2 linked regions of the Macaca mulatta genome follow. The main gene of each other region encodes a partner of the protein of the gene in region 2 in a complex. Links are inferred from orthologs where the notes say so. Each region holds a gene or a part of one and is shown on either strand. Other genes may lie near its edges. The genes, in order: NPPC and NPR3.

Region 1 (4,340 bases), on a different chromosome or scaffold from region 2:
CACAGCTGGTCTCTGTCATTAGCATTTTACAATCAACACCTAGAACCATCAGCGACCATCATTATGGTGGCTTAGAGCCCGAGTCACCCCCTGCGTGGAGAAACGGCCACAACCTCAAAGAGTTTTCATTAATGTGACAAATACAAGCTGTCTTTCCCTTTAACCCCAGTGATATATCCTGGGCATCACCACCAGGAGCCTGCTCTCTCACTGGGAGTGGGGGGCAGTGAGGGTAGGGTTTTTATTTTTCATTTAAAAAACCCAAATAATAAATCCACACCCCCCTTCCCAAATAATAATAAAACAGCTGGTGTTGGGCATAAGCCGGTGTTGAGGATGTTGATGATAAGTGTTCATCTATGCTAAGAGAGCTAGTAGGAGATTAATGAACCCCCCTGATCAAAGGGGTTGAGAATTCTTAGCAATGTGGATTCCTCCTACACAGCATCTTTCACTACCCGTCTGGTCATCACTTGGTGACCACAGACAGCCAGGCCCAAGAACAAGGCCCCTATGGGAATGCGCATTCCAGGTACGAACCCATGGAAGAGTCGCTAACATTTGTTCCGGTTCTAAAGTTTGAACTTGATGCTTAAATCAAACTGAAAATTTGAGGCCTCAGACTCCGTCTCTTTGTTGTTTAGACAGGAGAGAAGAGAGGAAAGGCATTCCAAGGGTAGCTACTGAAGGCTGGTCCCCAAGTGTCAGAATCATTTTTCTCCCTGTGCAGGGGAGAGTCAAGATCACAGACAACTGCAGCCTTTGCAGAACTGGGGAGCAGCCCACAGCCGAGGGAGGTCTGGCTGCAAAGAGAGGAAGGGCACTGGTTAAAACCTAGGGCAGGTGGGAGTGGCCATGGGCTAGGGTGTGCTGGTTTCTCTGGTCATTGACAAATATTTCTGAGTCTGTACGGGGTGCAGTGGGTCCTAGAGTGCCTTAGGCCAGCACTTGGCCCTTAAGCTGTTCAATACGGGGAGGTGAATGGGTTCACAAACTGTGAAAAAGTGTTCTGTACTGTGAAAAAGAGACAGTGTGCTGGAGAGGCGCTCTTGTTTCCCTCCGGGGGAAGACCCAACACTGACAAGGGTTTCTGGGGTGGAGACAGCAGCTTTCCCATGGCCTGGGATGGGACAGTCAAAGTGTGGGACAGGCAGTGGCAGCTGCTGAGCTGGAGGCAAGAAAGGGAGAAAGCCGAGTGAGCCTGATCCTAATGCACATGACTGTCAATGTCAGAGGCTGGGATGCTGTTATTCAGTGGGCACAGGCAGGCGGCAGGAATAGAGAGGAGGGAAAGAGGAGAGGTGAGGCTCTCTGCAGCAGTAAATTACCACCATGCGGCACCCGGCAGGGGGTGACGGTAGGGCAGAGGTTTCCAGCCCTAGTGCGGGGTGAGATCCCACACCAGAAACGGAGCCCAGAGCACCGGTTGGGCGGGGGACAGGGTTGGTGAGGGACTCTGGGACATGTCGAGTTTGAGGGTGGGGCAAAAAATATTTACTTTAGTATCTTTCCTATTCCCTGAAATAGTGCCACAAGCACTGAGATTCACCCCTGAAGCCACCGGGCTGCAGCTCCCCGGACAGACCAGTTTGCCCACTGCCTGGGTTTAGAGAAGGGACAGGACCCTGGATAGACCAGTTTGCCCACTGCCTGGGTTTAGAGAAGGGACAGGAATCGGAGTGCTCCAGGCAGAAGGGCGCCCTGACGGTGCCAACAGAGGGCTACTCTCGCTACAGGGGGCATGGTGGCCGGCAGATGATCAATGTCCCTTGGACTTGTGGGTGTAACCTTCCTTCTCTGCTCCCACAAACCCATGATCTCCCCTCAATTCCCCCACCAGCTGGCCAGCTGGGGCCAATGCTGCTAGTTCAGCTAAGGTGCAGGGGTGGGTGAGACGCCACCAAGCCTGTTTCTGCTTCTCTAGAAGAAGCCTGGTGGGTTCAACCAGGCTGAGCCATTTCTGACCATGCCAAAGTTCCCCGATCACTTTATCCTTCGCTTTCTTTGTCTGTAAAGGGGATAATAAAGGGGGTGGCCGGCAAACGCCTGGCACAACTTGAGCAAAGCCGGGCCGGGCTGGGGCTGGGCGCGGGGTCGGCGGTACTCACCGCCGCCAGGGGGCGCCGCACTAACATCCCAGGCCGCTCATGGAGCCGATTCGGTCCAGCTTGAGGCCGAAGCAGCCCTTGGACAAGCCCTTCTTGTTGGCTCCTTTGTATTTGCGCGCGTTGGGGTGCTCGTGCAGAAGGCGGGCCCACGCTGCCCGCGACTTGGTGTCCACGCGCAGGTCCCGGAGCAGTCGCGATCGGTCGCCCTTGAGGTTGGCGCCCCCGCCCCCGGGAGCCTTGTCGCCCTTCTTCTGACCGCCGCCCGCAGCCTGCGGCTCGGCCAGCTCCTCTCCCGGCGGGGTTCGCGGGACCTGTCCGAAGAAAGAGCGGGCAGGTGAAGGGACGCGCGGCTGCAGCACAGGGGACTTTGATGCTCCAGCCCCACGCGCCCGCCGGCGCGGGGTGTCCCTCCTAAGCCCAGAGCCGCCCCCACCGATGCCGGCCAGCTTGGCCCCGCATCCACCTGCCACGCGGCCGCCTTCTCCGCTCCCTCCGGAAGCCCCCTGCCCTCCCCTCCTTTGCTGCTCGCCCGGCAGGCCACGCTGGGGCAGGGGGCTGCGCATGGGCCGGCGTTCTCCGGAGGCTGGGGGAGTTGACCCCCGAGTCCGCGCTTCGAGGGCTCCCCGGGTCTCGCCCACGCGCATCTCGGAGGAGAGAGCCGCCTGCCTTCCCTCTCTCCTGGGTCCTGCGCGCCGCATTCTCCAAGCCCCCAGCCTCCCACGACTCTCTCAGGCTCGGCGTCCCCACGACAGCACCCACCTTCGGCGGCGCTCCGGGCTTGGCTTCGGAGGGCCGGAGTGAGAGCAGTGTGAGCAGCAGGGCGCAGGCCAGCAGCTGGGAGAGATGCATGGTGCCGCTGGGGTCTAGGGGCGCAGACGGGCGGCAGCGAGGGCGCGCGGGTCGGCGGGCAGACCAGCAGGCTGGTGCGGAGCAAGCTGGCTGGGCTGCAGGGCGAGCAGGCTCCCAGTGCTGCGCGGCGCCGGCTGGGTGCGCTCTGAGCCCGTGACTCCCCTCGCGCCTTTATAATCCAACCTGCCGCTGATGTCATCCTCCCGCCCACCGGGCTGCCCGGGCCAATGACACCACGCACGCGGCCGCGCCGAGGGCCGGGAGGGGGCCGCGGGGGCTCCCCTCCCTTATCCCACCCCGGAGGGATCCCGCGGTTCTGCCGGCTCGCTCCAGGCTGCACTTGGAGCTGCAGAGCGGCGCGCACAGGGGAACTCCATTTGCAGCCAGCGCGCGCCCTGGCCTGATGAGCATCAGTGCGCCCTGTGCCCTGTGCACCCACTGGGTCCTCAGCACACTCACTCTACCTAGAAGGGATCTATAGCTCTCTTTGCAGGTGCAAAGACAGGCTCAGAGGAATGAAATTACTTGCCCAAAGTCATACAGGCAGAAAGTTGGCGCTGCCCGAAATCCACGCAGCCCTGCTGGTCGCCAAACTCTTCCCTGGCACCTGACAGCCGCGGGATGGGCATTGCAGCTCCGCCTCTCACCTGCTCGCCAGGGCGGGAGCGCAGACCACAGAGATGTCGTTAGGTTGGGGAGGTAGAGGATGGGGTTGGAGGACTGGGGTGGGAGGCACAGGGAGAGCGGGGTTCGCCTGGGCCGCGGCGGGAGCGCAAGTCTTCCGCACTGGAGAGTGCAAGCATGTCGCCAACCTGAGTGTTTGAGCGGGAGGCGGGAACGAGGGGACTGCGAGCGCGGAACCAAGATATTCATGTTCATGCGTGTGCTCGGCGGCATCGTGTGCTCGCCAGTTATGGCTCTAGGTTCACGTTCAGCCGGTTTCGGCTACACAGAACGTCCCCGGGTCTGACTCCGCTGGTGAACTCGGTCTGTGGGAACAATGCGCACCTGACCTTGCCTGCACCCACGCGAGGATCCGCTGCTGAGAGAAGCCCGCTCCAGTATCCTGTGCACTTTCACAGGCTGGGGAGGGAGCTTCCTAACCAGCGGCCCGGTCCAGCCTCTGCCAGCCGTGACAGGTGGTCAACTTCCCACTGTTGACTGTAGAAAGGTCCTCGTGGCTCTCGGGACACGGCCACATATCCCTACCACTCACAAACTTGCTCTCCTTGCACTGGGCTTCTTGGTCCCTTGGGCACTAAGGAGTGTGGTGGGCACTTGGGCACTGCGGTGTGGGCCGCAGAGGCGGAGAGCCCAGATCCCCCAAATTGAGTGAGGTGCACGAATCTATGACTGGCTGCTGCCGAGCAGGACGCAGGCTGG
Region 2 (3,807 bases):
AATACAGGCATGTACCACTGTGCCCAGCTTCTTAAGTACACTTTCAATTAAACATACTTAAAAGTAGAAGAATTTAAAAGAAACAAAACTGCCACTATTCCTAGATTATGTGATTCTTTGGAAATGCATGGTTAATTTTAGAACAAATGAGAGTCCACCAAAGTCACTGAATTCGAGATGGATAGCAGAGAATGAAGAGCTCACGATGGGTGTCATCAACTGGAGTTCTAAGAAAGCAGATGAGACAACTCATTAGCACAAGTAAGAGAAGCAAAAAGACTGAGTCTAGACCCCAGACTCCTACAGGCTCTCCCACCACATTAGATCAAGCACTAGAATCTGGGAACCCAGCCACACCAGGTGCTGGCTCTTTGGCTCCCATAGTTCCTTCCCATGATACTCACCAGGACCACCTGTCTAACCTAACTTGATAAACCTCTGCAGCTGGTGTTTACAAGAGCCCAACTCAGCCAGGAGTGGTGGTGCGCACCTGTAATCCCACCTACTCCAGAGTCTAAGGCAGGAGGATCACTTGAGCCCACGAACTGGCTAGAGCAACACAGGGAGGCCTCATCTCAAAAAAAAAAAAAAGGCCCACTAAAACCTACATACATACAAAAGATGGACACATCTTCAGAACTAAAATAAGTTATTATAGTTAGCTCCAACTTCTACTTAAAATTCTAATTTTTATTTATTTATGAAGTCAGTTTTAACAGTCCCACTATCAGAGGGAAGCAGTATGGTAATCTAGGGCTGCAAACAATCTCTACAGTGCTCTTATTAGGTTTGGAATGTTCTATAAAGCTTTGTAGTAGGTATACGTTTCCAGTGAGATTTTGCTTAGACTACCATTAAAATAAGATGTAATATTATGAACACAGAATAACAGATAACCAAGAAGAATTACCCAGTAGTGGGATGCCAACTTTTTCTCTGAGACAAGGTCTTACTCTGCCACTCAGGCTGGAGCACAGTGGTGCGATCACGGTTCACTGCAGCAGCCTCGACCTCCCTGGGTTCAGGTGATCCTCCTACCTCAGCTTCCCAAGTAGCTGGGACTACAAGTGCATGCCACCATGCCTGGCTGATTTTTGTATTTTTTGTAGAGATGAGGTTTCACCATGTTGCCCAAGCTGGTGTTCAACACCTGAGCTCAAACAATCGCCGGCCTCAGGCTCCCAATGTGCTGGGAGGACAGACGTCAGCCACTGCTCCTGGCTGGGATGCCAACTTTTGCCCAATGAGAGGAAACCAGACAACATGGCACCATTGTTGAGTTTTTAAACCATAAAATTAATATGAACCTAATAAAGTAAAATAATATACAGTGGCATATGTAAAAGAGTTTGATGTTTTCAATAACGACCCAGCCTACATGTGGCAGCACTACTGAAGGAAGTTCAGTACCTTTTGTGTTCTTTCTTGTTTCTGAGACAAAGGATTTGGATGATGACAGCACTACCATATGTTTCCTTAAACGTAGGCTCTGTTGCAGAAACCCTACTTCTTTCATAATTCAGAACACGCTGTCCAATATGGTAGCCACTAGTCATGTGTGGCTATGTCATGTGGAGCTTGAACAAGGGCTTCGCACGCTATAAGTGTAAAATCACACTGGATTTCCAAGACGTAGTACAAGAAATACACTAAAATCCCATTAAAATTTTTTAATTTATTAAATGTTGAAATATTGTGTTTATATTGTGTTAATTGGAATATATTATTAAAATTAATTTCACCTGTTTTTTTTTTTCACTTTTTCAAATGTGTCAACTAGAAAATTTAAAATTATATATGTGGCTCACTTTTTTGGCTCACGTTGTATAACTACCAGACAGCACTGATTTAAAAAGTCAAAAGATATTTTAAATGATGTGAGTATAGTATATGCAACATTTAAAACATTAATAAATATGTTTATAAGACACTTTGTATGCCATTTGATAACAAATTCCTATAAAGACAGGTATAATCTTGAAACAGTGGTACAAAAGAGGTACCATTTATTTCGTTCTAACTTTCTGACAGGGATAGTGCTAAATGCTTCAGGTAAATAATCCTAAATCCTCCAGCAGGAAAAAGTAATTTGAATCGGGGAAATGGAGCAATTTTTCCAAGCCACACAGCTCAGAAGTGCTAGATCTAGACTCTGAAGGCAGCTCTGAGGCCAATGCCAGTACTCTGTGGTACTTCAAGTAGAGAAACTAGGAGAAACCCTGTTTGGAAGTGGCCATCTCTTATGAAGTTGATCATTATCCAATTTGAGCAGGGACTATCCAGGCCGTATGCCTATCATTAAGAATGTGCTCCTAATTAGCTGGCATGATGGTGTACACCTGTGGTCCCAGCTACTCAGGAGGCTGAACAGGGAGGATCGCATTAGCCCAGGAGTTTGAGGCTGCAGTGAGCCATGATCGCGCCACTGCACTCCAGCCTGGGAGACAGAGCGAAATGTTGACTCAAAACAAAAGAAGAGGAGGAAGAAGGTGCTCCTTTTCAGTTTTGGATGCTGTAGAGTGATTCGTTTTGAAGACCAGCACACCTACTCAACTAGTCCAAGGTGCCCACCTTTCATCCTGCTCTAAGAAAGGATTTACAGGAGTGGCGTGTTGGCCATGCAGCAAAGCATGTCAGAGGCAGTCAAAACAATGATGCCAAATGAGGTGTGGTCAGCTGCCTGCGGTGCCAGCTCTTAGATGAGTCCCTCTGCTTAATCCTCAGTCTGAACTAAGGTTCTGACTCTTGTCCACTCCTGAAATGCACTAGTAACAACAGCACTAATGGAATGTGAAGTCCTGCAATATGTGAGCAGGAAGCAACTTCCAGCAGAAAGAGGCGACAACACCATCCACAAGCAGACTAGCCAGAACGCCAAGCCAGGCTGCCAAAAGAAAGTGTCTCCTAAAACCCCAAATACCCAATGCCACCAAGCTTTGGAAAAATGAGGCATGCAAACCTTTGGCACTCCTTCATCCTTCTTCTCCCCCAAAACCCTCTTAGTCAAATACGTGATGGAAGTCTACAGACATTCTACTCAGCACCACCACAAGTGCCCACGAAATAGCAATGGTCCTTCCTGCAGCAGCTGAAAAAGTGTAAGTGAAGGGTACAGATGATAGTGAGTATATTTGGGAGGGAAGGAGGAAAACCACTCAGAAAGAAAACACACACACACACACACACACACACACACACACACAGAAGGCAACAGTGAAATTCAGACCTGAACCTAGGAATTTTTGAATGGCTCAGAACGGGACACTCTGTCATCTCTGATTTAATTAGAAGACTGTTTTCAGGATGCTGAAGGCCTAGGTTCATAATCAGGCACTTACGTAATCCTCCATATTGAGACCTTGTTTCTCAACAGAACTTTTCACCTCCATGGAAAACTTCTCAAACTCGGGTTTCACTGTCCTCAGTAGAGTGACTGTCTGGAGGGACGAGTATGCTTGCTTAGCTTCGAAGTCGTGTTTGTCTCCTCTCTTCCACGAGCCATCTCCTATGAAAGAAATAAAAATATTTGCAATTCCAAGCCAGCCACCAAAAAGAGGCCATTCTGCCTTTACAACTGCGATGTGCCCCCCGCATGTTACTTTTGGCAACCAGGAAGAGAAGTATTGTCATAGCTCTGCCCTTAGGTATGATGTGATGTCAAGACCATTAAAGGAGAAGAAGGCCCTTTGCACATGTGTTCCTTTGAAACGTGAGCAAGAAAGAAGAGTACTGTTGAGGTAATTGCCTTGTAATAACCATGTAAGTGCAATTTTCAGCTCTACCCCACCCCCAAAATTGCAGCACTAT

Evidence for each region.
Region 1: the proteins of NPR3 (region 2) and NPPC are in contact, whole or in part, in a crystal structure (PDB 1JDP), measured with the Homo sapiens proteins. The link is inferred for Macaca mulatta from reciprocal best matches to the Homo sapiens genes NPR3 and NPPC. Residues at the interface, in NP_001191304.1 of Homo sapiens: Asn110, Tyr138, Ala141, Pro142, Arg145, Ala161, Gly163, Phe164, His166, Glu170, Tyr171, Tyr204, Lys208, Leu209, Arg211, Tyr214, Phe215, Leu217, Glu218, His221, Glu222, Gln225, Ile233; in NP_077720.1 of Homo sapiens: Gly109, Cys110, Phe111, Gly112, Leu113, Lys114, Leu115, Asp116, Arg117, Ile118, Gly119, Ser120, Met121, Ser122, Gly123, Leu124, Gly125, Cys126.

Annotation. Positions count from the first base shown.
Region 1 is NC_133417.1:137,158,022-137,162,361, forward strand, and holds the start of NPPC (C-type natriuretic peptide precursor), read right to left. Parts: upstream 3,106-4,340; 5' UTR 2,958-3,105; coding exon 2,868-2,957; intron 2,420-2,867; coding exon 2,129-2,419; 3' UTR 2,109-2,128; intron 1-2,108.
Region 2 is NC_133411.1:34,125,063-34,128,869, reverse strand, and holds part of NPR3 (atrial natriuretic peptide receptor 3), read right to left. Parts: intron 3,506-3,807; coding exon 3,339-3,505; intron 1-3,338. UniProt on the Homo sapiens protein: Receptor for the natriuretic peptide hormones, binding with similar affinities atrial natriuretic peptide NPPA/ANP, brain natriuretic peptide NPPB/BNP, and C-type natriuretic peptide NPPC/CNP.